7 linked regions of the Macaca mulatta genome follow. The protein of the gene in region 2 interacts with the protein of the main gene of each other region in a pairwise test. Links are inferred from orthologs where the notes say so. Each region holds a gene or a part of one and is shown on either strand. Other genes may lie near its edges.

Region 1 (3,961 bases), on a different chromosome or scaffold from region 2:
AGATGGTCTCAATCCCCCGACCTCAGGTGATCTGCCCGACTTGGCCTCCCAAAGTGCTGGGTTTACAGGCATGAGCCGCCTCGCCCGGCCCGATAACGTTATTATTAACTAAAGTTGATACTTTATCCAGATTTCCTTAGTTTTTACCTAATGTTCTTTTTTTAATTGCAGTGTCACACCCAGGATACCGTATTACATTGTCATGCCTCCTCAGGCTTCTCCTGGCTCTGAGTTTCTTATACTTCCCTTACCTTTGCTGATCTTAACAATTTTGAAGAATACTGGTCATGTACTCTGCAGAATGTCCCTCAATTAGGGTTTGTCTGATTTGTTTCTTATAATTAGACTGGGTTATGAGATTTGTTAGGAAAGTAGCATAAAGTGCCATTCTCATCATATATCAGTCCACATACTATCAACATGATTTAGCACATAGTCTTGATCACCTGGCTGAATTACTGTTTGCCAGGTTTCCCCACTGTAAAATCACTCATTTTCCCCTTTACAGATGTTGTACTTTTGGGAAGGAAGTCACTATGCACAGCCCACATTTAAGGAGGTGGAAGTGATGCTCCAGGATGGCTGTCTACATAAGTTATTTGAGATTCTTCTGTGGGGGATTTATCTCTTCTTCCTCATTCGTTAATTTATTCAATCACTTATTTATATCGGTATGGGCTCATGAATATTTCTTTTATACTTTGAGTTATAATCCAATATCACTTGTTTTATTGCTCAAGGCAATTTGTAATGTTCTGAGTAACTCAGTGAAGAACCACCCCTCCCAATGTTTGTACCAGCTCACAGGGTAGACGTCATTAAGATCCTTTTCTCTTCAACTTCATAGGCCCATTAAAAAGGTCAGAAAGCAAGGGGGAAGCTGACACCCCTGCCTAGCGCCCAATTTCTGGACGCCCCTAAGGAAGATGAGGCCAGCATGCAGGGGTCTTTCCCCACATGGGCACCTCAACCCGTGAAACGCCCTTTCCCGGCCAGACCTTACTCAGCACCCCTCCTTGTCCCCTGCCCCATCTTCTGGCTTCCTGTGGCTCCGCCCACCACGGGGCGGAAGTGGGTGTGGCCACGGGCGGAAGCAATGGGTCAGGGGCCCAATCTTGCAGCCAGCCCCTCCCACTCGCCGCCGCCCCACCCCTCCGGCCCAGACCGGAAATGAGGTCAGAGAGGGAAGCCCTGGCGGTGAGAGTCGGCCCAAAAAGCGGCGGCCGTTGGAGGTGGCTGCGGCAGCTGGTGAGGGGGAGGAGTGGTTTTAGTGTTGGGGTCCTGGGGGCTAGTACCAGAGGGGATCGGAGCGCCAAGCCGCGGCTGAGCGGCTAAGGGCGTCTTGGGGCTGCGGCAGCTGGCCGGAGGGTGAGGGTGGTGGGGTCTTGCTTTTCAGGGCCCTTGTCCCCATCCCTGGGGATGTGGGTCGGGCCGTCTTCGGGGCCACAGCCCCCTCTTCCTCTTTCTTCTTTCTGCCTCTCTGGGGCTGGCGGCAGCGTGAGGGCTTGGTGTCCCGAGCCATGGTCGCCCCAGCCCTCAGGGACGGGCCGGGGCGAGGTGGAGAGTCCTTCGAAACACAGTTTTTCTCACATATGTGGCCGTGTTGCGACCCCCGATCCCGGAGGGAGCTCAGTCGCCACGACTTGCATTTTTTCAGTTTCTGCCCTAGAAGAGCCGACCCCCGCCCCTGGTGAGCCCAAATGAGAAGTTGCCTCCTGCCTCTCCCACCTCCTACTCCGCCCCTCACTTCCACCCTGCTCCTGTTTCTCTTCTTACTTGCTGTCCACCAGCTGCCCTACCCGTTCCTTCCTGTGCGTGACTCAGCCTCATCTCTACCCGGGTGCGTGCCTGGACGCCGGGTCCTCTCGAGAGTGTGCACCCGCGACTGGAGATGGGGGGAGCCCTAGGGTTCTTCTGTCACCCACTGTTCGAATTACAGGCTTTGAGGCAGGAAAGGATTCTGCACAAGCATTCGACTACCAGTTGTTTGGTGACTTCGTTCCGTGTTCAAGTTTGTGCTATTCTGCCTGAGGTTTTTATTTGTTATTATTATTATTTTTTTGTATTTTAGTTGCCTGAGTTTTTAAAGCAGTAATTCTTTATTAGGGAAGTAGATTTAGGCATGCTGTTCCCACTTGTTTCTTTATTTTGGTCTTAGGGACAGTTGTCTCCCAAACCTCAATCATGGCATTTTAATCCACTTTTTTTTTTTTTTTCCATTTTTTCCCCTTCTTTTCACAGCTGTTAATAAATCACTTCTTAATGCTTAAAAGAACTTGGTCTTGTTTAAATGTATGTGCCTTTGGACACTTTGAGAAGCTTCGTTTGTATGGTAGTTTTGGAAGTAGGTGTCACCATTGCTCCTACAGGTGTGGCAGATAAGCCCCAGGACTGTTTTCCTGTCTTTAAATTCATTGGCATAGGCACAGCGTGAAAACAGGTTTTAGAAAACCCTTTGCAAAGTGAAAACTGAATGAATGGGAATATGGTGAGAGAGCGGCACCACATAGAATTTTAACATGATATTGAAATACTTTGGGCATAGAGGCAAGGGAAAAGTGCTAAAAGTTTAATGTGTATTTAATTAGCTGCTATACAAATTAAACATTTCCCCTTAAGAGGGAATTTTGAAGATTGTTCCTACTACTCTCATTTGTTGAAATGTTTGCCTCTGAAGTGACTCCTGAAGTGTGATGTTTGGTTTGAGGATAAACAGAAAAATAAGAAATTTTGGAAAGCAGTTCAGCCAGAAATCTTAGAAACTTCACCCTATCCCTGTCATTTCAGCTGCTGTTGTATCCTATTTTTGTGTGATTGTGTGGCACTGAAGCACATAACTAGGACGGACATTCGGACATTTATTTTCTGAAGAGTAGGAGAGGGGCTTAAAAATTGTTAATTATTCAAAAATATATGACCTACTGTATAAGGTTCTATACCTGGTAGCTTCCAGGTGGTAGTTGGTACCAGAATGGGTGCAAACTTAGTCTCTTCTCCATTCTGACTTCAAACCTGGCCACTACAATTTCTTGGATCATGAAAACTGCATTCTTCCTTAAAGGGTATCACTAAGTTGTCTTTCTGTTTCTTTCTGCCATGGTCATTGTCAGCAGTGACCCCAGGCCAAAGAACAGTTTTTCATTCATTCTCAATACCTCGATGAGACCGTGTCCTGCTCTGTGTTTCTGCAACTCTAGTGTGATTTTGAAGTTGTATGTTTTTCTACTCCTGTCTAGTGAGACAGTCTCTAATCTTTCTGGATCTCATCATTAGGTAATTCAGTGACAAGTTTAACTGGGGAAAAGTGAGAAGGATCTAGTCCCCCGAATTTGTTTTGGGTCCTGTCCCAGTTGTCATCTGGTGAGTAGGTTTTTGTGCTTAAGAATATGTTGACTTCAGGCGTTTAACAAGGGACAAAACATCTATTTTTAGTGGCTTTAGGAAGTGGTAGGAACAGAATCTAAGTGTAGCCAGATGAAAGGTGACTTATTTCATTTAGACAGGCAGTACTGTGGACTACCATGATCTGTTTCATCAAATTATTCCGAAACAACAGATCCTTTTCAGGCTTTCTTTTTCTTTTTCTTTTCTTTCCCCCCCCCCCACCCCCCGCCAAACTTCCTTTTGGCAGATGTGGCCTCATGGATGAGCTGGTACACGACTTAGCCTCAGCCTTGGAGCAGACATCTGAGCAGAATAAGCTTGGTGAGCTGTGGGAGGAGATGGCCCTGAGCCCCCGGCAGCAGAGGAGGCAGCTTCGGAAACGCCGAGGTCGGAAGCGTCGTTCTGACTTCACTCACCTGGCAGAGCATACCTGCTGCTACAGCGAGGCCTCTGAGTCAAGTCTGGATGAGGCCACTAAGGACTGTCGAGAAGTGGCTCCCGTGACCAATTTTAGTGACTCTGATGACACAATGGTGGCCAAACGACACCCAGCTCTCAATGCCATTGTTAAGAGTAA
Region 2 (4,188 bases):
AGAAGATACCGTTCGTGCACTTAACTAACACGGCTTGCCTTACCCTTTCCAAAAGGAACTCCGCCCAACGTGGGGCTCGAACCCACGACCCTGAGATTAAGAGTCTCATGCTCTACCGACTGAGCTAGCCGGGCAGCTTGGCCAACGTTATAACTTTGTCTCTGAAGACGGAGGTTGCCCGCAGAGGTGTAGGCACGTTTCCACTGTACAAGTACTAAGAAGCGCCTGCGCCTGGCTCTGTTCTAGGTACTAGGGCCGAGGATCTGAAATCTACGGATTCCTTTGCATGTGATGGCTGCATAGGCTTCAGAAGGGAAGAGCAAGAGATTAGGTGAGGTGTAAAACCTGAATTTACACTGCGAGAATTTATTAAGGACGTGGTATGAGTTCGTGTTCCTCCGAAGCGCAGGCCACACATGTCCTTCCAACCGGGTGACCTGGCCTCGGGAGAGAAATTCTCCTGAACAGGCCCAAAAAAAACGTGTTTCCGCCCGGTTTCGAACCGGGGACCTTTCGCGTGTGAGGCGAACGTGATAACCACTACACTACGGAAACTGCCTGAGCTAACGTTCCTCCAGCATCGTCCTGAAGATACACGTGGCTGCGAAGGCCAGGAAGGCGCTAGGCCCTCGCCCTCGTGGGACAGACCCAGGGACCCCTGCCGCGGCCGGCTAAGTGGTGTCCAGGTTCTGGAGCCAGACTTGTCTACCGCAGCCGGGTCCGCAGCTCCTGTAATGGCCGAGCATAGTTCACCCACGAGTGTTCGTGGTTTTTGGCGCGTTTGATCTGACATCCTCAGAGGCCTGACCAGGCCCCTCTAGGAAGCACGACGTCCCCCTGGAGTTTTCCCGCGAGCCGCCTCTCCGAGAGCAGGGTAAGTAGGTCCTGCAGGCCCAGCCCTGGCGTCACGCCGTGTCTGGCACTCACTGGAGATTCTGTACATAAATCATTGCCTCGTCATTTTCCTCGCATCAAACAACATTTATTTGTTTTTTATTATGTATCGACATCAAATCTCTATAAAAATAAATTTTAAAGAGCTATTTAAGCACCAAGTATTATTTCTACTGCACAAAGCATCTATTTTTGCGGAGATGCTGTGCGAATGTAGATGTAATGATTCGTCACCACTTCTTTACTTCTGGGCAGTTAGGGAAGTTCATCTAAACCATGAGACTGTGTCCGGTTGGCAGTTTCCACCTTGGATGCGGAACGCCGACTACAGTTGGGGAAGGGTTGGGCGTCTGCGGCCCGATCGGCCAAGCGCTTTCTCAGGCCCCGCCCGGGGTCCGAGCCGTACGACCCTCTGAGTCCTCCACAACAAAGTCTTCTGCCTAGAAGGGCCGGAAGTACTTCAGGGCGCTCCGCGGACCCACCCCCTCGCTTCCGGCATTGGCGGTGCGGCGTACCGGCTGCAGTCGGCTGTGTCGGGAGGGTAGGATGGCGCCTGGCCGATGCGGTCATAGCACCGAAAGCAGACGGCCACCAAGCGCTCCCCCCACCCCCCGAAGTTTCTCCCCAGCGGCGGGGGATGGGGGTAGGCGGTTCCTCTGTTCTTTCTGCGTTCGCCGCGGTCCCGCACCACAGAGACGTGGGCCTCCACCGTCCTAGCCCTACCGCCCTGTTCTGTAGTGCGGGCTAGAGCGTCTCCTTGCCATTTCCTGTCGCCCTGGGGCCCCGCGGGGGAAAAAGGGGGAGTAGCACGACAGCGGAGGGAAGTCGAGAGCTTAGGTGGTGTGTAGACGCCGGAAGTATTGGGAAGGAGGCCGGAAGCTAGGGGCGGGGCCAGGAAGTGAGGAGGGGCGGGGGTTTATGAGGAGTCCAAGGAGCATAGGGGCAGATTTGCACTCAGAGCCACCTGAGGGACTTGGCGGTGGTGCCCAGCACTGTCCCCTCCCCTCGCAGAGACGCGGTTGTCGTTTGGGAGTAGGGAACACTGTGTGGCGGGGTGGGTTGGCGGGAGGACATCTCTCTGGCTGCCCTTGGGGCGAGGTGTGGAGGGGCAGGGCTGGGGGTGGAGCCGGGTCGCCAGGGCGTCGGTGGGGAAGACCCCCGCCCCTCGCCCCCCCACCGCACCTCTACACTGGCTGGCTGGACACTAAGATGGCTGCCGTTGCCATGACACCCAACCCTGTGCAGACCCTTCAGGAGGAGGCGGTGTGCGCCATCTGCCTCGATTACTTCACGGACCCCGTGTCCATCGGCTGCGGGCACAACTTCTGCCGAGTTTGTGTAACCCAGTTGTGGGGTGGGGAGGATGAGGAGGACAGAGATGAGTTAGATCGGGAGGAGGAGGAGGAGGACGGAGAGGAGGAGGAAGTGGAGGCTGTGGGGGCTGGCGCGGGGTGGGACACCCCCATGCGGGATGAAGACTACGAGGGTGACATGGAGGAGGAGGTCGAGGAGGAAGAAGAGGGTGTGTTCTGGACCAGTGGCATGAGCAGGTCCAGCTGGGACAACATGGACTATGTGTGGGAGGAGGAGGACGAAGAAGAAGACCTGGACTACTACCTGGGGGACATGGAGGAGGACCTGAGGGGGGAGGATGAGGAGGACGAGGAGGAAGTGCTGGAGGAGGATGAGGAAGAGGATCTAGACCCCGTCACCCCACTGCCCCCGCCTCCAGCCCCTCGGAGGTGCTTCACATGCCCCCAGTGCCGAAAGAGCTTTCCTCGGCGGAGCTTCCGCCCCAACCTGCAGCTGGCCAATATGGTCCAGGTGATTCGGCAGATGCACCCAACCCCTGGTCGAGGGAGCCGTGTGAGTGATCAGGGCATCTGTCCCAAACACCAAGAAGCCCTGAAGCTCTTCTGCGAGGTAGACGAAGAGGCCATCTGTGTGGTGTGCCGAGAATCCAGGAGCCACAAACAGCACAGCGTGGTGCCATTGGAGGAGGTGGTGCAGGAGTACAAGGTGAGAGAAGTACCGAGAGAAGATGGGAGTTTAGTCGGGGGCGGAGAGGAAGTAAGGGGAGCTGAGGAAAGGAAACATCTCTTCGCCCATCAAAGAACCTCATGGTATTGATGAGCTGAGTTTGCTTGTCTAAGCACTTACTGCCAGCAAGGTGGGTTAGAATGAGAAGGATTCTGTACGCAGAGCAGATGCAGTGAAGACGACCAGTCTTCATTTGCTTTGATGGCTTCCTCAAAGCCAATAGAGCAAAGCCGGTGATGCCAGATCAGGTCTCTAGAACTTTACCAGCAGTCTGGCTTGCTTTCTGGTGAGTCTTAAGTCTGTCCTTGACGGAGACACCTAGAGATGGAAAGAACTGGGGGCTTCAAAGGACAAGGAAAGGCTCGGAAGCAGGAACAGAGAGATAACCGCTAGTGTCAGTGTCAGACCCAAATGCCCTGCCCTTGCCTCCCAGTGGGTTCCCCACCCACCACGATGTGGTTTGGTTCTGCCTTCAAGGACTTTTGTTGGCTCTGTGTCACTCTTCTGTACTGACTAGAAAAGAGCTTTTCAGTCAGAAGACCTGGCTCTGCAAGTCGCACTGTCAAATCTTGTTTGTCTCTGTGTGTCTTTGAACTTTAATTTATCCAGGATTGATAGTTAATATTCTCTGGACATTTGTATGTATACCAGGCACTGTACTAGGCAATTTTCATGGACCGTCTCTTTAAAACCCAAACAACACTGTGAGTTTGATATGTTTTCCATTCCCATTTTATAGATTGGGAAAGAGAGTCAGAGGCTTTAAGTACCATACAGAGGACCACAGAGCTTCAGTAATAATTGACTTAGTTATTTGCTGACCCTTCCCCTGGTGTATACTAACAACGCCACCACCATTTGGATGTCTGTTGTTTGACTTTTCTGATGTGACTTTCTTGGAGTCTGATTCTAGTTTGACAAATATCTTGCCCCTACTTCTCATTTTGACTTTCCTTTGGACATAGGTAAAGGAGATTTGTCTGCAAGGCAGCCAGCACAAATAGCACTACTTAGTGAAGGCCTGGATGGGTTTGGAGCAGTGGGACCAGGAGGAGGAGAGGGTAGCCTCTGTGTGGTCTGCTCAGAGCTTGTTTGTTTTATGACTCATGTTTTCACACCTGATTTCCTGCCATAACTTCATTTAGGTACTGTTTTTGTTACCCCAATTTTAGAGTAATGTGTGTAGGACTTCTCAGCCCTGAGTGGTACAGCTAGACAAACCTACATTACTTCGTCACAAGTAACTATTGCTTC
Region 3 (3,500 bases), on a different chromosome or scaffold from region 2:
TTTTAAAATATTCTGATTAAAACCCAACAAAAATAAAATCCTCCAAATCTAGGGGAAAAAATAAAATTTCAGGATAACTCTGTTTAATTCTATTTTTTAGCCTATATATGTATGTGGAGATTGCTTGCATCCAACATATGTGAGGATGTCTACTGAAGCACAGCCAAGTGTAACAGTAATAGTTTCCAAACTTCTTCATTCATTAATCTATTCACCAGATAACTTACGAAGCAACTACCTAATGGGCTTGGCATTCCACTGAGGATAAAAAGTGATTATTAAAATAGTGTGTCACCAAGAAGGTTATAATCTTATGAGGAAATAATAAATGTAACAAAACAAATTACATTATATCCTACTAGTTAAAGACTGTATATTCTTTCCTGACATAAATGTCCTAGTTTGGATTAAAGTTGAAGTTATTCAGGATTTGGTGCTGAGCCTCTTCTTCTCACTCTGCACTCATCACAATGAGGTCACGTACGCAAGCAGTAAACAAGGATTCTGACTTTATGACCATCGACTTGAACTTTTATGTATACGAAAAATAAACTTTCCAGCTCATTCAAGCCAGTGGTTTTTTTCGGGGAGTGTTCTCTGTCCCTGCAGCTGGACCTAATCCTAACTGATACATTGATCCAACTAAAAAGGGGAAATGCAATAAAGAAAGGAATAGGAGTAAGAGGCAAAGATGGAAATTCACTAAAAATGCTCTAAAAGAATCTACTGTATATATTAGGAGCTGTTTTTAATTAAGTGAATAATACACTGTCTTTGTATAAATAAAGGGAAGAGAAAATGCATCCTAGTGAGGGAACCAAAGGCATTACTCTTTCTCCAACACCTCGAACATGGTATACCAAAACCAAACTCATTATCTTCCCCCCCAGCAAAAAAAATCACCCTTCAAATTCTGTATTTTTCTCAGCATCCGTGCTCAGAATCTGTGAGTCATATCTGATTTCTTGCTGCATTTACCCTCAAATACAATCACTCATCATGTTTTAGCAGGAAAATACATTTTTTTTCAAGCTTATTCTCTTTAAAGTACAATTTTTAGTGGTATTCTTTTTTAAAAAACTGAGAACTCAATTATTTAATTTTTATTTATGTATATTTTCTCCCCTCAACTAGACTAGTTTTTTCTTAAGAGTACTATTAATCCACAGTACCTAGTCCAGTTTCAATAGATACTGAACAACAACAACAACAAAATACTGAAGAATTATGATGGTAATAGGAGGTGGGGAAAAATAAAAGAAAAAAAGAAAAAAAACCCCAACAACTTAAGAACAATCCATGAATAAGCCAGGGCTGAAAAAGCTCCTTTGTTACATGCTCCTAGAAAGAGATAATTTTCACACTTGATTTACAATATAGTAACTTTAGGTAACTCCAATTACTGTGGTGCTTTTTGAATCAGATGTGGTACAGAGAAGACAGCTGTGAACTAGAGTCCACAACTAGTTTATAAGAAACAGAAGTTTTGGGGATATATTAAGTGCATGGGTTTATAAATAGGGTATACAAAATGAACATTATTACTACTTTCTATAAGAAACTGTGAAGCAACACACTTATTAAAGGCACTACTGAAAAAATTATTAAATCAACCTGGTTCTAATGAGATCAAACGATTTAAATGACAAGAAATCTTCATGATACATAAATATAAGATAGCTTTTTAAACAGGTTTTTGTCTTAATACAAATATACAGTATCTACAACACATATTTATGCAACCTTCCCTCCTCTCACATTTCTAACTGAGATCTGCTCCTGGGTCACCTTTTCCAGCCACAATTTGACGTTTGAGATAGAAATAAAAATAACTTTTTATTTTTTAGAGTCTCACTGTCACCCACACTGAAATGCAGTGGCACGATCATAGCTCACTGCAGCCTCAAACTCCTGGACTCAAGCAACCCTCTAACCTCAGCCTCCCAAGCAGCTAGAACTATAGGCATGAACCACGGTACCCCGCTAATTTTTTCCAGTTTTTGTGGAGACAAGGTCTCACTATATTGCCCAGGCTGGTCTTGAACTCCTGGCCTCAAGCAATCTTCCTGCCTCCGCCTCCCAAAGTGCTGAGATTACAGGCATGAGCCATCATACCCAACCAAAAATAAAAATATTAACTAAAGTAAGATGTAAAGTGGGAAAGGAAATCTGACATTACTAATTAGCACTGATTGAAATGTTAATTTTACTAGAATAGACATTTACATAATAGAAGATGTACATCTGGATCTCTATAAATGGTAATCAATTTTTAAAATCTATCAATTTCAAACATCATCTGTGAAATAAGATATTATTCTGTAGAGTTAAATCATTCATCACAATCACTAGAGGCTCTAGACTAGAGTCAGGATGAAACAGGATCCAATACCCACTTGTGTTTAATTTTAGACTTTTCATGCCTCAGCTCACAAAAGAAAAAAAGCATAAATTTCCTTCTAAATTTCCATAGGCCTTTTGTAAACTCCACAGCTGCAGAGGTTAAATGGTCCAAATGACACATCATAAATGCAGGACAACTGAGTCTAGAATTAGCATCTTTAAAAGAATAATGTGGAGGGGGGACATGACAGTATAATAAAAGTTAATATTTTACTTGAATAAGAACCTCTTTCTATAAATATGTGGAAAGCATACCTTATTTTCTTTATATTTACTGAGATCTGCTATGCAGTATTCCTTAAATAATTTATCATAGTATTTCTTAGCAAGTCTCTTCTCCCTAGATCCATAAAAATATAAATATACATTTAGAAACTCAACCACGGTTTGCTACTTTCAAGTGATGTCAAAGAATACATACGACGTAAATATTAAAGTTTTAAGAGAACTATTACTTACATGTGCATGGAATATCTGGATACTAACTATTAAAAGTGGTTCACTCAGGGAGGGAAACTGGAGAATGACAGTCACAAATGAGAAGGAGAATCACTCTTCACTGTTTACCCTTTGTAATGTTTGGATTTAAAAAAACATTTTCAGGTATGACTTTTCTCCAAAACTTTAAAAATTAAAGCAGCAGCATATAATAGCATATTACAAGATAACACACAATACTGTAAAAAATAATGTTTTTGAAGACTAAGTCAAACACTGAGAAGTCAGTTAAAACTGCCAAAAATTACCAAAAGAACCAAATAATCCTAGGTATGATTTTATGTCCTTGATTCTGAACTGTTCTATGAAGGGGCTGAACACCTTGACTAAGTGACAAAAAACCACTCAGAAAACAGGAGAAACAGGACTAAAGCATTTGATGCATTATGCCTCTGATGGCTAATTACCAAGTCATGTCCATTTCGTCCTCCTCATTCCATAGGAATCTATGATTTTCTCGTATAACATCCAAGTCTGTCTTGTCATTTTCCCTGGAAAACAGAACTTTTTCAATTTAATACAAAAACAAAAGTAGTCAAATTTAGGTTAAATAGCTCTGTGAGTTTTGGAAAATTTTATTAAAAATATAATACATGAAT
Region 4 (4,279 bases), on a different chromosome or scaffold from region 2:
GCACAGTCTAGCTGCCTGGGTACAATTCTCCCAGTATCTTGCAGGCCCCTATTTCCTATTCCTACTCTGCTCATCTGGCTCTCAGGAACCTTCTTGGCCTTCCCTTTCAGACCTCTACAGATGCCAGCCTTGTGGGAAAGAAGAGTGGGCACCTGAGGGAAGCCAGACCTGCTTCCCACGCACTGTGGTGTTTTTGGCTTGTCAAGAGCACACCTCTTGGGTGCTGCTGGCAGCTAACACACTGCTGCTGCTGTTGCTGCTTGGGACTGCTGGCCTGTTTGCCTGGCACCTAGACACCCCTGTGGTGAGGTCAGCAGGGGGCCGCCTGTGCTTTCTTATGCTGGGCTCCCTGGCAGCAGGTAGCGGCAGCCTCTATGGCTTCTTTGGGGAGCCCACGAGGCCTGCATGCTTGCTGCGCCAGGCCCTCTTTGCCCTTGGTTTCACCATCTTCCTGTCCTGCCTGACAGTTCGCTCCTTCCAACTAATCATCATCTTCAAGTTTTCCGCCAAGGCACCTACCTTCTACCGCGTCTGGGTCCAAAACCATGGTGCTGGCCTGTTTGTGATGATCAGCTCAGCGGCTCAGCTGCTTATCTGTCTAACTTGGCTGGTGGTGTGGACTCCACTGCCCACTAGGGAATACCAGCGCTTCCCCCATCTGGTGATGCTTGAGTGCACAGAGGCCAACTCCCTGGGCTTCATACTGGCCTTTCTCTACAATGGCCTTCTCTCCATCAGTGCCTTTGCCTGCAGCTACCTGGGCAAGGACTTGCCAGAGAACTACAACGAGGCCAAATGTGTCACCTTCAGCCTGCTCTTCAACTTCATGTCCTGGATCGCCTTCTTCACCACGGCTAGTGTCTACGACGGCAAGTATCTGCCCGCGGTCAACATGCTGGCTGGGCTGAGCAGCCTGAGCAGCGGCTTCGGCGGGTATTTTCTGCCCAAGTGCTACGTGATCCTCTGCCGCCCAGACCTCAACAGCACAGAGCACTTCCAGGCCTCCATTCAGGACTACACGAGGCACCGCGGCTCCACCTGACCAGTGGGGTCAGCAGGCATAGCTGGTAGCTTTCTCTGTCCTGAGGGTCGAAGGTCAAGCAGGCCAGGGCTGTTTGGGAGGCCTTTGGGCACCTCAGTCTGGGGTTGGGACGTGTAAGCGCCCGGGAGAGCCCAGACCAGGCTCCGGGCTGCCAATAAAGAAGTGAAATGCGTATCTGGTCTCCTGTCGGGGAAGAGGGTGAGGTGCCGCGGATTCAAGTCTGAACCCAGAACCTGGAAAAGGCTTGGTGCCCAGCTTGACGTTGCTAGGCAACCCCGGAGGCGGGCCCAGCGCCAAAAGAACAGGGCGTGGCCTCATCCCCTCATCCCATTGGCCGTTCTCTGCGGGGCCCCGCCCTCGGGTGCCGGAGCTAGAAGATCTACGCTTCCGAGGCGCCCCTCCTGGCCGGCACGCTCTGACGTCACGTCCGGCGCGGAGACGGCTGCGTCTCCGCACGGTCGGCGGGGCACGCATAGCCGGGCAGTTGGTTCGTGGGCTGTGGAGGCGACGGAGCCGGGGGCTGGTGGGGCCAGCTCAGGGAGGACCTGCCTGGGTGAGGAGGGCACGAGGTGAGGGAGGGAGGGGCTGCGGGCCGCCGTGGCTGCCTTCCGCTCGGCCGCTCGGGACCTGTGGGCGCGGCGTGGGCTCCGCTTACCTGTCCGCGGCCGCCGTCCTCCCCAGTCCAGGATCCTCTCACTGTGCCAGGCCAGTCAGTTCGCGCTCATCCCGTGCCTTCTTTCCCCAAACTTGGATTTTTCCCACCAGGCCCTTCTTCATGACCCTGACCCCCCCATCAGCATCCCCCCTGGCCAACCCAATATGGCCCCCGGTCCCCGGGAGGCTGTCAAGTATGTTCCTGCCTTCCGCGTGCACCCCTCACCTTGACCCAAGCCCTCGTGCTGATAAATGTGATTATTTGAGTGGAGGCCAACTTCCCCTTTCTCTCTCTTCGACTCCAGGGGCTTTCTCTTGCATACGCTCGCTTGGGCTGGCCAGGGTGTCACTTCTGCCTCCCTGCCCTCCAGACCATGGACGGCTCCTTCGTCCAGCACAGTGTGAGGGTTCTGCAGGAGCTCAACAAGCAGCGGGAGAAGGGCCAGTACTGCGACGCCACTCTGGACGTTGGGGGCCTGGTGTTTAAGGCGCACTGGAGTGTCCTTGCCTGCTGCAGCCACTTCTTCCAGAGCCTCTACGGGGATGGCTCAGGAGGTAGTGTCGTCCTCCCTGCTGGCTTCGCTGAGATCTTTGGCCTCTTGTTGGACTTTTTCTACACTGGTCACCTCGCTCTCACCTCAGGGAACCGGGATCAGGTGCTCCTGGCAGCCAGGGAGTTGCGAGTGCCAGAGGCCGTAGAGCTGTGCCAGAGCTTCAAGCCCAAAACTTCAGTGGGACAGGCAGCAGGTGGCCAGAGTGGGCTGGGGCCCCCTGCCTCCCAGAATGTGAACAGCCTCCTCAAGGAGCCGGCAGGCTTGCAAGAAGAGGAAGTTTCGAGGACTCTGGGTCTAGTCCCCAGAGATCAGGAGCCCAGAGGCAGTCATAGTCCTCAGAGGCCCCAGCTCCATTCCCCAGCTCAGAGAGAGAGTCCCTCCTCCCTCTGTGGGAAACTCAAGCAGGCCTTGAAGCCTTGTTCCCCCGAGGACAAGGAACCTGAGGACTGCAAAATGCCTCCAAGGCCCTTCGAGGCTGAAGGTGGCCAGCTGCAGGGCGGGAGTAATGAGGTACTGTGCCCAGGGTGCTGGGACTGGGGAGACAAATGGAGGGAATAGACACTTTTTTTGGTATAATAGGGACCCTGGGCTGGGTGTGATGGCTCATTCACGTGAGTGGTTCAAGTGGAGGACGACAGGGATGGACGAAGTCTATTTGTAATCCTAGCACTTTGGGAGGCCAGGGTGGGTGTGGATCACTTGAGCTTGGGAGTTCGAGACCAGCCTGGGCAACATGGCGAGGCCTCATCTGTACAAAGAAAATACAAAAATTAGCCGAGTGTGGTGGCACACACCTGTAATCCTAGCTACTTGGGAGGGTGAGGTGGGAGGATCACTTGAGCCCAGGAAGTGGAGGTTGCAATGAGCTGAGATGGTGCCACTACGCTGTAGCCTAGGCGACAGAGCAAGACCCTGTCTCAAAAAAAAAAAAAGTGGACCTTAAGACAATCTCTGTTAATGTGGGTTTGGAACGGGCTTTCTCCAAACAAAGGAAGCTGGTGATCTCAGGCTGACCTTTCTGCAAGCCCCAGCTATTCATGGTTGCCACCTTCCTGAGAGGAGTGGGCAGCATCAGGGTTACAGGTGTTTCCCCAGGATAGTGTTTCCATCCGAGCTTCCAGTTCCCCACAAATACAGTCACTTTCCTCTGAATCCAAGACTCAGATGCTCTGCCTTGGGCCCCTGAAGGAACAGTGTCTGATGAAGGGACTTGTCAGGGTTGGGGCTTGGGATGGAACTGGAGCTGGGTCCCTACAACTCCTGCTGATTCATTTGGTGACCCCACCCCCTCCTGCTGCCTATTGTGCTCTAGTGGGAAGTGGTGGTTCAAGTGGAGGACGACGGGGATGGTGATTACATGTCTGAGCCTGAGGCTGTGCTGACCAGGAGGAAGTCAAATGTAATCCGAAAGGCCTGTGCAGCTGAGCCAGCCCTGAGTGCGGGCTCCCTAGCAGCTGAGCCTGCTGAGAACAGAAAAGGTACAGCGGTGCCGGTCGAATGCCCCACATGTCATAAAAAGTTCCTCAGCAAATATTATCTAAAAGTCCACAACAGGTAAACTTTCTGTTTTTCTATTTTCCTGTCTGCCATTCCCGCGTTGGGGGAGGGGTCTTGCACGTCCCACTTCTGGGTGAGGTAGGGGCTGGGGGATCCATCTCAGACCCACATAGTGCCTGGCCTTGGCACACCTCTGGCAATCAGGAAGTGAGAGTCTGCTTTGGGTTAGATTCTTCTTCCTCACTGTCCTGTGAGTACTGTGGTTGGAGATGGGTTTGTGGACATCTTGTCAACAGGTTCCACCCACTGTGGACCTTGACCTTCAGCTGGCCTCTGCGGACAGAATGAGAAACCTGTGGCCCGTGTGCTAGAGCTGAGGCCCAACCTTAGGTGTTTCTGAAGCCCGGCAGTGTGGGCTTGAAGCCTGGCAGTGTGGGCTTTGGGCCACAATGCTGAGCCTTGGGTCAGTGCTACCTGTGTTTCCAGGGAAGTGTTCACTCTGGGGTGTCAGTGGAGTATTAAAGTCCAGTTG
Region 5 (3,500 bases), on a different chromosome or scaffold from region 2:
TCACCTGAGAACATGAATGCTTGTGAGAGGATCTTGTTATATGAATATTCTGTACTGTAACAGTTCGCAGGCTGCAAGAACAGCCCACGGAAAAGTTAAAAAAATAATCAATCATTTGGAAATGTTCATGCAATGCCAGAATAGCTAAATGCTCCACCAGTGTGGATGTTGACATATCTGTAGCTAGAGAAAATTGGATGATAGACTGCAGTTTCCATCCTCACAGCCAGGTAAGTTGGTACCATGTAAACATGGCCTATCTGAGAGTACACACATCATCTCTTATGTCACTTTCCCGGTCCCAGTGGCTTTCTATAAAGTGCAGTCAGCCTGTGCATGACATGTCACAAACTACTTTTGTGCTGGATAAAGCCCCACGTGCCCTGCTAAGGTGAGAAGCTAGCTGATACAGGGGTAAGTGACAAGCCCAGAAATGTGGTCAGTGAATGAAGAGCTTTAGATAGTGCCAGTGCACCAGTGAGTGAAACACTCTGTGATCCATCAGAGGATAAGTAATGACCAGTGTGCCAAGTTGTTGAGGCAACTTATTGCTGCTGCTGCTGCTACTAGACCTAAAAAACCTTACATCTGGCTCACTTAGATACTTCTAAGAATCAAAATAAAAGTGTTTACGTTACAGTGCCTTGTCTAGTGAATTTCCATTATGCAGGTTCTCTTTAGTTCAGTTAAACATCCCTCAGGCAGATAGAAAGAAGTAGAACACTAAAAAATTCATTTTTGTACTTCTTAGCATATTTAAGCATCGTTGCACAAAAAAAAAAAAAAACACCCATAATGTAAAAAGATCCTGTATAAGCCATGCAGTATTACATTTGTCAATTAAAAAAACAATTAAAATGTCACTCTTTGAAACCTTTGGTTAATGATGATCTTTCTACACCAATTTTGTATCATCTGGGCTCCTAGAAGAGTTAATTGTATTCATACTTTTTAAAGATATCACAGCTTGTTTGTACATGTGCAAAAATAATTAGATACCAGAAATAATTTTCAGGAGAGCATTAATGTGCTCCTTTATCTTGATTATGTTGATATTTCACTGAGGATAAATTTGCCATAAGTTACTAGAGCTGGGTATGATTACTTTTTACTTGGCGTGTGTGTTTACTATTGATTCACATTCTGTTTTTTCGTATATTAAGAATATCTTCTGACCTACATTTCAGGGGTACTATGAGGGTGAAAGAAATTCTATATATTAATTAAGTCTTGAACCCTTAAGAGGAAAAATGGAATGATATGCTCAAAATTGTTATTGGTATTTTATACTGCATTATAAGATTTGATGTTGTGGATCACTGATGGTACGTGTTGTACATCTCAAGTTTATCTTATATGTAATGAAAAACACATTGAAAAACTCTGTTCATAGTTTAAGTCATACGAACACAATTTCATTTATAGAGTCCATGTTGGACTAAGTATTATATATAATAAAAGAACATTGCTATTGCCCTCAATAATTTTACTTAAATACAGATAAAAAGACCAATAAGTACACACATACTTCTACATATGCTCAGTTTGAGTATAAAATTTTTTATGGTCCAGTTGCTGAATGTTTGAATTTCTCAAATACTCATGTACTAGATGCCACTTTTTAAAGGATTACTATGTTCAATCTTACTTAGACCTCAAGTACGTATGCTCAACAACTTATGAAACAAAACTTCATATCTAAAATTGTTTTCTAGAGAGGTTTTGGTTTATCTTAAAATCATATTACAAGCAGTTAGAAGTTTTGTTAATATTTTATAAGAGGAAAATTACATGCTTTCCCAATTAGGTTGTGAGTTACCTGAAGGAAGATGAGAAAAATAAGAAACATATCTCCCCCTGTTGAGTTGCCATCAGTCTTACTGTCTTTGGTCTATATTTGTTCCATGTCTTGTGCGGAACCTGGAAAAGTAGTAACTCAATAATTGTGAATGATATGATTGCATGTGTTTGAATAAATGAGTTATTACCAATTCTGTCTCACTTTTTTTCAGACTCCCAGGAAGGAAATTACAAGTCAGAAGTCAACAGCAAACCCAGGAAAGAAAGGACAGCATTTACCAAAGAGCAAATCAGAGAACTTGAAGCAGAATTTGCCCATCATAATTATCTCACCAGACTGAGGCGATACGAGATAGCAGTGAATCTGGATCTCACTGAAAGACAGGTAAAGCTGGACATTGTCATTATATGATCTTTTTTAATTGCTCTGGGTCCACAGTTTTCTTTGCCATATTTGAAATACCTAGATCCAGAATTCTTCAATACCATTTGGAAGACAGGTATACTATTCCATGATAAAATTTTGCCAGCAAAATGACAAAATTAAAAATAATATAATGATATTTAAAAGAAAACCATACTTACTGAGTTTAAGAAAGAATCCTCCTATGATTATGATCCTTCTGTATTTTTTGGTTTTAAAATATTATTTCTTTTACATAATGATGGCATACAGTGAGGAACTGTGTATGCTTATATGCTAAAATCTCCTTATTTGGCATATGAGAAAGTTGGTAACCCCAGATTAGTTTTCTGTATTGCTCAGGATAGGGTATGTTACCCTGCAGTAACACGTTCACCCGTAAACCTCAATGGCGTAACACAAAAATATTCATTACTTACTCACTCTCCATACAAACTCTACATGTCCAGCATTCCAGATAATCGCTCACAGACCCATTCTGACTCTTTAACATCTCAACATGTGGTGTCTGTGGTAACTACAAGAAATAAGAAAGAATTGGAAGTTTATGCACTGACCTTTAAATGTTTTCACCTGGAAATTACCCATGTCACTTCTATTTACACACTGATGTCTAGAAGAGTCAAATGGTGCAGCTTAGGTGCAAGATGGCTGGGAAATGATGAAAGGCAAGGTCACATAGATCATTGGTAAATATTTCTGCCCCATTACCCAAAATATTTTTGAAATTGAATGGCTCTCAGATATTGAAAAATCTGCTATCCACTTAGAGAATATTTTGAAATTATTAATGTTTTTGGACTCTAATTAATGAGACCTAAATAATATTTTTAAATTAATTGCTTTTCAGGTCCCTTTCTTGCATTTTTTTAAATGACAAATGATTTGTTCTAAGAGTCTTCCCAGTGAACTCCTTGTACAGATTCTGGTTTCCCCAAGGAGAATCTAGCCTACTGCCGGTTAACAGTTGCTAATCTTTACAAAAACATTCCTGAAAGGCGAATGCAAACATCTTTATGGACAGTGCAGTTATGATTGGCACTCTTAGGGCTAGAGTCTCATTTCCTCTTTCACTGTGTGTACCTCCTCCAGGATCCCATTGGAACCAAAGAAATATCAACAGGGTGTGGACAAATGAATGCATGTCTTACTAGAGCAAATTATTTTATCCAATTTCTTAAATAATCTGCTTTCCTTCTGTTAATTTTTACATTTCAGCTTTGGTAGGTTATTTATGGGTAGTAGAAATATGCAGAGGAACACTTTTCTCTGGTTT
Region 6 (3,500 bases), on a different chromosome or scaffold from region 2:
TAGAAAGTCATCTGTTGATCATTTGGCTTAATTAAAATTGGGAGTATCATATATTTACCATGATTCACTCCCATACTGCCTCCACTAAAAATGATGCCACTTTATCTCTAAGTTGAGCCTGGCTGATAGTAAACTCTGTGAGACTGCCCTTCATGTTTTCCTAAAGGCACAGACTTCTAGTACAGAATATACATCTTTACAGAATATTAATCATCTATAGGCTGAGGCCTAATCTGAGATTAACCTTCTGATTTCTTCCTGGAGTTTCATCCAGGAGCATGCCCTGGGCCTCACATGGCGATGAGATGGGGCTTTTCCCCTCAAAGGTTTGTTCTTATTTGGTCTATTTGGGACAAAGGTATGCATAAATACAAACTATGCTTACAATTGTTCCTTTCATTCTTTTCTGTTAACAGCTGTGGCTGGTGGGTGAGCCCAGCTGCCTTGCACAATTCGAGTCTTCTCAGGCACTCATTCCCCTCAGTTGTCATTGGTATAAATGGAGTGATTCCTTGTTTTGCAAGGGTTGCACACTTCTTATCAAACATATTTGGGCTTTTGTGAACTCTGTAATAGACAATGGCCTAGGCCTTTGTTAACTGTCTCAGGTCCTGCTGGGAGGTCGCAGAGCGGGGTCGAACTGCTGGACCCTCAGAGCAGGAAGTTCCTGGGCTTTGAGAAAAGCAGAAAGCTGGTCTGGGAATTCCATTAAAAATTTCAGATGTTAGGCTGTGGTCCTGCCACTGGCCAGGCATGAACCTGGTGCTAGCTACCAAGCCAGTGGGTAGAGGATTTACCTTGTTTGGGGTCAGTGAGGCTTCTTAACAGCGGGATAGCCTTTGAGCTGAGCCTTAAGGGAACAGTTGATCATGAGGAGACAGAAGATGGCCCCAAGAACACCACGAACAGGAGTGACATTGGGACTGGGGGTGGGAAATCCTTTAGTCTGATGGATTGGAACTACAGGCAGAGGCCAGTTGGGTAGGTGAATTTTACTCTTGGGCCCTTGAGGGAGACCAGACTCCCTCCTCCACTCCACCAGCCACACTGCCTCTTTAGTGCCACAGAACAGGACCTGCTTCCCTTTCTTCACCAAGGTGCCAATTTCCCGAGCAGTCTCTACCAGCCCTGCCTCGGAGAGCACAGGCTCAGCTCCACATTGTCCAGAGGGCTCTCCTGCCCCCCAGTGCATACCTGTGTGTGCACATACATTCATACATTCATACACATGCACTCACACGCTACACATACTCTCACACACCCTCAATACTCACATACTCCCTCTCATATCTGCACACACTCACACACAGAGCTCTGGTACCTCTTGCTCCTCTCTCATGCAACTCTGTTTTTTGTTGTTGTTGTTTTCTTTTTTTTTTTTTTTTCATAGAACTTACTGCCCTATGCAGCCATCTGTCCACCTCTATTTATCTGCTCCCCACACTGGATTGTCACAGAGCATTTGTCCTGCATGCACACACACGTATCCAGGGTACCGCCTGCCTGGCATGTGTTAGTAACTAATTGTTATTCATTTAATGAATTGATCAAAACTTGATATTTTTGTACAAAGAATATTTATCATTTAGTATCTTCTTTCCTGCATGTTTTTCACCAAATGAGATAAAAGACCTCTCTCTCTCTCTTTCTCTCTGTCTCTCTCTATATATATACACACATTTTTTTTGTTTGTTTTTGAGATGGAGTTTCTCTGTTGTCGCCCAGACCAGAGTGCAGTGGTGTGATCTTGGCTCACTGCAACTTCCACCTCCCGGGTTCAAGCGATTCTCTTGCCTCAGCCTCCCAAGTAGCTGGGATTACAGGCACGTACCACCATGCCTGGCTAATTTTGTATTTTTAGTATAGATGAGGTTTCACCATGTTGACCAGGCTGGTCTCAAAGTCCTGACCACAGGTGATCCACCTGCCTCAGCTGCCCAAATTGCTGAGATTACAGGCATGAGCCACTGCACCTGGCCAATAAAAGATGCATTTTGATTAAAATAATGACATGTTTCTAAAATATTCTGAAATGTAAGGCACTGACATCACAGAATTTAAATATTTTTCAATAAAATCTATAATCAAACCATAGTTCAGCTTCCTCTGGGATATTGTGAACTAAGTTTAAAATGCATCTGGAATTTTCCACTGCTGTTCATATTTTCAAATGCTTAGAATTAGAAAAATTAGCCAGGCGTGGTGGCACATCGGGAGGCCGAGGCAGGAGAATCTGCTTGAACCCGGGAGGCAGAGGTTGCAGTGAGCCAAGATCGCACCACTGCATTGCAGCCTGGGCAATAAGAGCGAAACTCCATCTCAAAAAAAAAAAAAGAATTAGAAAAATTTTGACGTCTTAATTTCTAATAGTGTTAGACATCAGAAATAGTAAAATTTCTAGCCACTGCCTGCATACAAACCACTCTTAATAAATTCCCAATTTATCAAAAAATAGTTTGGGAAATGAAAAACAGCAAATTTCTTCAGCAGTCAGGGCAACACTGTATATTCCATAATGAGTTTGCACTTTTCAAATAACTAAAACGCATTTAGCACTGAAACTGGGCTAAGCAGAATTTATTTTTTCTTTGGTTCAGAATTTCAGAATCATGGACTGCCTCCAGGTCTTTCTGAACATCAGATGCCGTTCTAGATATAAAACAGAGACCTGGCCGGGCGTGGTGGCTCATGCGTGTAATCCCAGCACTTTGGAATGCTGAGGCGGGGAGGTGGGGCAATCACCTGAGGTCAGGAGTTCAAGACCAGCCTGGCCAACATGGCGAAACCCCGTCTCTACTAAAAATACAAATATTAGCTGGGCGTGGTGGCGGGCGCCTGTAATCCCAGCTACTCCAGGAGAATGGCTTGAACCTGGGAGGCGGAGGTTGCAGTGAGCCTAGATTGCGCCACTACACTCCAGCCTGGGCAAAAGAGTGAAACTCCGTCTCAGAACAAACAAAAAACCAGAGACCCAGCGTTTGAGCAATGGGTGGTTTGGATTTAGACACACAGGAGATGTGGATGGATTTAGACACAGCTCCCAGCTGTGGGCCTGGCTGTAACTGTGTTCTGTTTCCTCCCCAGCCCAGCGACTTCTCCGTGTCCCTTAAAGCGTCAGGGAAGAACAAACACTTCAAGGTGCAGCTCGTGGACAATGTCTACTGCATTGGGCAGCGGCGCTTCCACACCATGGACGAGCTGGTGGAGCACTACAAAAAGGCGCCCATCTTCACCAGCGAGCACGGGGAGAAGCTCTACCTCGTCAGGGCTCTGCAGTGACGGCGCCCCGGCCCCACACTCGCCTCCCGGGCCCCACGGTGGAGCTGCCCGCCCGGCCTTGTGGCAGAGGCTCCTCCCGTGGGGGCGGCGGCCCCGACGGCTTCTACGCGAGTCTCTTTATGTTCAGGTCGCTTGGTCGGTTTGTCTCCCATTCGCCATCCAGGCCTAACACCCACACTCGAACCCACCCGGCCGGCCAGCTTTAGAGGAGGGGAGGAGAG
Region 7 (4,118 bases), on a different chromosome or scaffold from region 2:
TATACGCTTCTGTTGCTTTGTTTTTTCCTTGCTTTGTTTGTGTGTTTTGTCCAATTCTTTGTTCAAAACACCAAGAACCTGGACAACTTGCAGTCCAGACCCTCCTCTAGTAACAATGTTATATAAGTATTTAGTTGATGTTAATCACTGGATGAGTTCTTCCTGCCTGCTGCACAAACAAAATCAATTCAGGAAGTCTACAGTATTGCAGTAAGGAAAGAATTTAATTGATGTGAGGCTGGCCACGCCACATGGGAGATGGAGTTATTACTCAAATCAATCTCATCGAAGGCTAGTAGGTTAGGGGTTTTTCAAAGGTAGTTTGGTGGGCAGGGGCTAGAGTATGGAAAGTGCTGACTGGGTTGGAAATGAAATCATAGGGGGTTGAAGTTATCCTCTTGTGCTGAGTTGCTTATGGGTGGGGCCACAGGAGAGGTGGACTGGTCCAGGTGGAGCCATCAGTGTCAGGCATGCAAAAATCCTGAAAAAATGCCTCAAAAGGCCAAACTTAGGTTCTACAATAGCGATGTTATCTGCAGGAGTAAATGGGGGTTGTCTGTTTGGTGGCCTCCGGAGTAATTGCTGGCAATGGTCTCTGTCTACACCTTAGCAGACAGAATTCACACTCCTCTATCCTCCTAGCCTGGTGGTCTCTCAGCTTTACAAAGGCAGTCGAGTTTTGGGGAATAGCTATTATCATTTAAACTATAAACTAAATGTCTCCCGAAGTTAACTTGGCCTGAGCTCAGGAATAATTAAGGGCAGCTAAAGGCAAGATGGAGTTGGTTAAATCAGATCTCTTTCACTGCCATAATTTTCTCAGTGTTAGAATTTTTGCAAAGGCTGTTTCATTAGTACCCTACTCATTTAGGTGAAATGAACAATGTGTATTTTATGTGTTCCAGATGTGTATCAATATCACATAACTGTCAGGGCCCCAGGTATCTGTCCCTGGTTCAGAAAGATCATGAAGATGAATACCGCGATGCGGACAGCTTGCCCGACTCAGCGAACTCAGAACTTGTCCTCAGTAGCCAGCCCCTATGGGCCAAGGGGTTGCAAACTTCCACTTGCCGGCAATTACACCTGTTTCCATCATTCTCCTTGCTGTACCTTGTGGTGGGAGCAGCTTGGGAGTCAATCAAGAGAAAGCGACAAGCGTCTGGAGAGCGCGGGGTGGGGTCTCTGGAGAGGAGGGCTGGGTGGGAAGAGGCGCGGCGGGAGGCGGCGCCCCGGCTCGCATTGGCCCAGTCGGCGTCCCTCCTCTGGGGGCGGCCGGGCGCGCCCGGAAAAGTGGCTTTGCCTGGCGGCGAGAGGCAGAGGTGCCCTCGGTAATAGAAGAAACATGGCCGAGTATACGCGGCTGCACAACGCCTTGGCGCTGATCCGCCTCCGAAACCCGCCGGTCAACGCGATCAGGTAACGTGCTCGGTCGCCTCCAGCCCGGGGACCGTGCGGGCCTTACCCGCCCTCCGGCTCCGGAGGCTTTGACTCTCCCCCGCTGGTTTAAACCGAGAAGGACACTCCGAGTTGAGCAACTGGTACATGCCAGGAGCCCTTTTTTTTCTTTTTCTTTCTTTTCTTTTCTTTCTTTCTTTCTTTTTTTTTTTAACCTAGATTAGCTTGGTTAATCTTCGTAGAGAACTCTCGTCCCCGTTTTGCTGATAAAGAAACTGAGGCTGAGACAGATCAGCACTCAGGGAGTTGGCCTTGACCTGTTCCTTCATGCAGAGTCCTCCTGCTTACTTGCAACTTTGGCTTTGCAGGTCGACTTTCTAATCCAAAGGTCTTAACTTAGTTCGATGTTGAACTTTGATCCAACCTCACTCCCCAACTTTGAGTCCAGGCTGCCCTTACAATGTTTGGCTAAAGGCTTTAGGAATAGGGCAGTAAAATGGTTTAACATTTAAAAATAATAGTAAAAGTCCCACTAATGCCAGCGCAGTGATTAAAGCAGAATTGTGCCCTGGTCCAGAAACGCAAAATTATTTCTCCTGATTTGTTTGAACCTCAGGACTTTGGTGCTTCCGAGGAAGACTCACATCAGACTAAGCCTATGTAATAGCATTTTCTGAAAAACTGCACCTTGTCTTCTTTTTCTCACTGGGAAGTATTTGCCTTGTGTGGTGCACTTAAAACATTGAAAAGTGAGATCAATGTTGCTTTTTTGAAAAGTAATGAAGTTATTCGGTTTGGTCATTCTACATCTCTTTAAAAAAGTAGTTATACATCAGCCTTGAAAAAGAATTACCTATCCACAGGGAATAAGATTAGTGGAAATCATAATTTACCAAGAATATATAAAGCATAGAGAGAAAGGTCTTTAGTCAAAATTCTTATCACATACTGCTGAAGCAAAGAGACTGAAATGAGAAGACCTGCTAATTTTAATACAATTTAAAAATCCTACTGTCATCAGATTTGATTTATCATTAGTATTAATATTAATTCAATGTGAATTATTACATTTAATAATGCCAAAAAAATGCAGGACTAAAATCACATAAGGATGACATGTCTACTAACTTGCCATTCCCAGAATAAAAAGCAAAATATCTGTTATGTTGGTTTTGACAAAGAAAAATGTAAGTAATTTGATTACTTGTCCATTTTGGACTGGTCTATATACTGATTAGAATTGCTAGATACTAGGACCTTAGTGGGAAAAGTTCCATACTCTAATACCCATGACTAGGAATGTTTTCTGACAACTGTTCGTTTTTTTTTTTTTTTTTTTAGTTTATTTGTTTGTTTTGGACGGAGTCTTGCTCTGTCACCAGGCTGGAGTGCAGTGGTGTGATCTCGGCTCACTGCAACCTCTGCCTCCCAGGTTCAAGTGATTCCCCTGCCTCAGCGTACTGAGTAGCTGGGCCTACAGGTGTGCACCACCAGACCCAGCTAATTTTTTGTATTTTAGTAGAGACAGGGTTTCACCATGTTGACCAGGATGGTCTCAATCTCCTGACCTCGTGATCCACCCACCTCGGCCTCCCAAAGTGCTGGGATTACAGGCGTGAGCCACGTGCCCAGCCTCTGACAACTGTTTTAAATGTTTCTGGAATTTAACCTGCTCTCCCTGCCCACCCATGCAACTGCCTGTGCCACCCCCAGCCCCTTTGCAGGAGAAATGTTAGGGCCTACCTCATAAAGTTGTGAAGTTTAAATCAGCTGGAAATTATAAAGTGGCATTTAATAGATGTTAGTTATCATTCCTATTAGTCAGAAGACCTATTCAAGCCCCTGACAACAGGCCCTGCTACTCAGGACCCACTTCAGTTTCATCAAGAAGATATTCTCCACTTGGGAATAAGTACTTCTCTGCCCTTTTTCGTCTGTCTTCTGAACTTTTTTTAGGTAGAAATGTACATCCTAAGAGTTCCTCAAGTTTAACAGATTCCTCAATTTTTTTATTACACTTTTCTTTCTTTCCTCCCTTTCTTCCTTTTCCCCTTCCTATTTCTAATTTTATATGGGAAGTTGTATCTTCCTAGCTGATTGAGAGATTCTTACTTGAGTGTAACACACACACATACACACACACATATATGTAAATTTTTTCCCCAAAACAAATAGTTTAAATCCTTCATTGCTAGTTTAGCAGCCATGTTTGCTTCCATTCAGATAAACACCAGCCCCCTTTATAAGCGTAGGACAGGCCTGATTAATAGGCCTGTCTCCCAGAACAATGGCTTTCATACTATTGCTTTACTGTAATCCACAGACTAAGAAAGCTCACGTTTTTACATAGCAATTCAAGATACACTTACATACAAACACGTAACTGAAAACAGTTTTCTAAAACAAAACCTATCCTTACTTGGTGTATTGTTTGATACAGTCTATTTTCTCTTCTTGTCCTTTGAAAAAATCCTGGTCACAAGCCACAAACTTGATTGGATGACGTTTGGTTAAAAAAAAAAAAAACTGTCTGAAAAAAAAAGAAAGACCTCCTATAGTCAAAGAAGCTGAAGAGTTTTGGTCAGTAGTCATGAAATGCTGTCTCTACTCCAGATTCTATTTCCTTATGCCTGACAGTATTAACAGGAAAAATAATTTCGTAACCTCTGCGGCCTTTACATTGCTGTGACTCTCTCTGTCAGCCTGAATCTAGTAAAGTG

The links.
Region 1: the proteins of TRIM41 (region 2) and GPATCH2L interact in binary tests that used the Homo sapiens proteins (3 or more experiments, as listed by UniProt). The two-hybrid records come from large-scale screens. The link is inferred for Macaca mulatta from reciprocal best matches to the Homo sapiens genes TRIM41 and GPATCH2L.
Region 3: the proteins of TRIM41 (region 2) and FRA10AC1 interact in binary tests that used the Homo sapiens proteins (3 or more experiments, as listed by UniProt). The two-hybrid records come from large-scale screens. The link is inferred for Macaca mulatta from reciprocal best matches to the Homo sapiens genes TRIM41 and FRA10AC1.
Region 4: the proteins of TRIM41 (region 2) and ZBTB48 interact in binary tests that used the Homo sapiens proteins (3 or more experiments, as listed by UniProt). The two-hybrid records come from large-scale screens. The link is inferred for Macaca mulatta from reciprocal best matches to the Homo sapiens genes TRIM41 and ZBTB48.
Region 5: the proteins of TRIM41 (region 2) and MEOX2 interact in binary tests that used the Homo sapiens proteins (3 or more experiments, as listed by UniProt). The two-hybrid records come from large-scale screens. The link is inferred for Macaca mulatta from reciprocal best matches to the Homo sapiens genes TRIM41 and MEOX2.
Region 6: the proteins of TRIM41 (region 2) and NCK2 interact in binary tests that used the Homo sapiens proteins (3 or more experiments, as listed by UniProt). The two-hybrid records come from large-scale screens. The link is inferred for Macaca mulatta from reciprocal best matches to the Homo sapiens genes TRIM41 and NCK2.
Region 7: the proteins of TRIM41 (region 2) and EHHADH interact in binary tests that used the Homo sapiens proteins (3 or more experiments, as listed by UniProt). The two-hybrid records come from large-scale screens. The link is inferred for Macaca mulatta from reciprocal best matches to the Homo sapiens genes TRIM41 and EHHADH.

Annotation. Positions count from the first base shown.
Region 1 is NC_133412.1:149,363,467-149,367,427, forward strand, and holds the start of GPATCH2L (G patch domain-containing protein 2-like), read left to right. Parts: upstream 1-1,161; 5' UTR 1,162-1,248; intron 1,249-3,631; 5' UTR 3,632-3,641; coding exon 3,642-3,961.
Region 2 is NC_133411.1:190,264,930-190,269,117, forward strand, and holds the start of TRIM41 (E3 ubiquitin-protein ligase TRIM41), read left to right. Parts: upstream 1-1,388; 5' UTR 1,389-1,812; coding exon 1,813-2,913; intron 2,914-4,188.
Region 3 is NC_133414.1:105,636,547-105,640,046, forward strand, and holds part of FRA10AC1 (protein FRA10AC1), read right to left. Parts: intron 3,393-3,500; coding exon 3,309-3,392; intron 2,744-3,308; coding exon 2,659-2,743; intron 1-2,658. UniProt on the Homo sapiens protein: May be involved in pre-mRNA splicing.
Region 4 is NC_133406.1:234,203,605-234,207,883, reverse strand, and holds the start of ZBTB48 (zinc finger and BTB domain-containing protein 48), read left to right. Parts: upstream 1-1,479; 5' UTR 1,480-1,611; intron 1,612-2,001; 5' UTR 2,002-2,070; coding exon 2,071-2,760; intron 2,761-3,562; coding exon 3,563-3,804; intron 3,805-4,279. Other genes in the region: TAS1R1 (taste receptor type 1 member 1), read left to right, coding at 111-1,042. UniProt on the Homo sapiens protein: Plays a critical role in transcriptional regulation and chromatin remodeling. Acts as a regulator of telomere length. Directly binds the telomeric double-stranded 5'-TTAGGG-3' repeat.
Region 5 is NC_133408.1:112,640,795-112,644,294, forward strand, and holds part of MEOX2 (homeobox protein MOX-2), read left to right. Parts: intron 1-2,012; coding exon 2,013-2,185; intron 2,186-3,500. UniProt on the Homo sapiens protein: Mesodermal transcription factor that plays a key role in somitogenesis and somitogenesis and limb muscle differentiation. Required during limb development for normal appendicular muscle formation and for the normal regulation of myogenic genes.
Region 6 is NC_133418.1:13,989,773-13,993,272, forward strand, and holds part of NCK2 (cytoplasmic protein NCK2), read left to right. Parts: intron 1-3,084; coding exon 3,085-3,279; 3' UTR 3,280-3,500. UniProt on the Homo sapiens protein: Adapter protein which associates with tyrosine-phosphorylated growth factor receptors or their cellular substrates. Maintains low levels of EIF2S1 phosphorylation by promoting its dephosphorylation by PP1.
Region 7 is NC_133407.1:97,414,896-97,419,013, reverse strand, and holds the start of EHHADH (peroxisomal bifunctional enzyme), read left to right. Parts: upstream 1-1,318; 5' UTR 1,319-1,345; coding exon 1,346-1,419; exon of another isoform or gene 1,420-1,541; intron 1,542-4,118. UniProt on the Homo sapiens protein: Peroxisomal trifunctional enzyme possessing 2-enoyl-CoA hydratase, 3-hydroxyacyl-CoA dehydrogenase, and delta 3, delta 2-enoyl-CoA isomerase activities. Catalyzes two of the four reactions of the long chain fatty acids peroxisomal beta-oxidation pathway.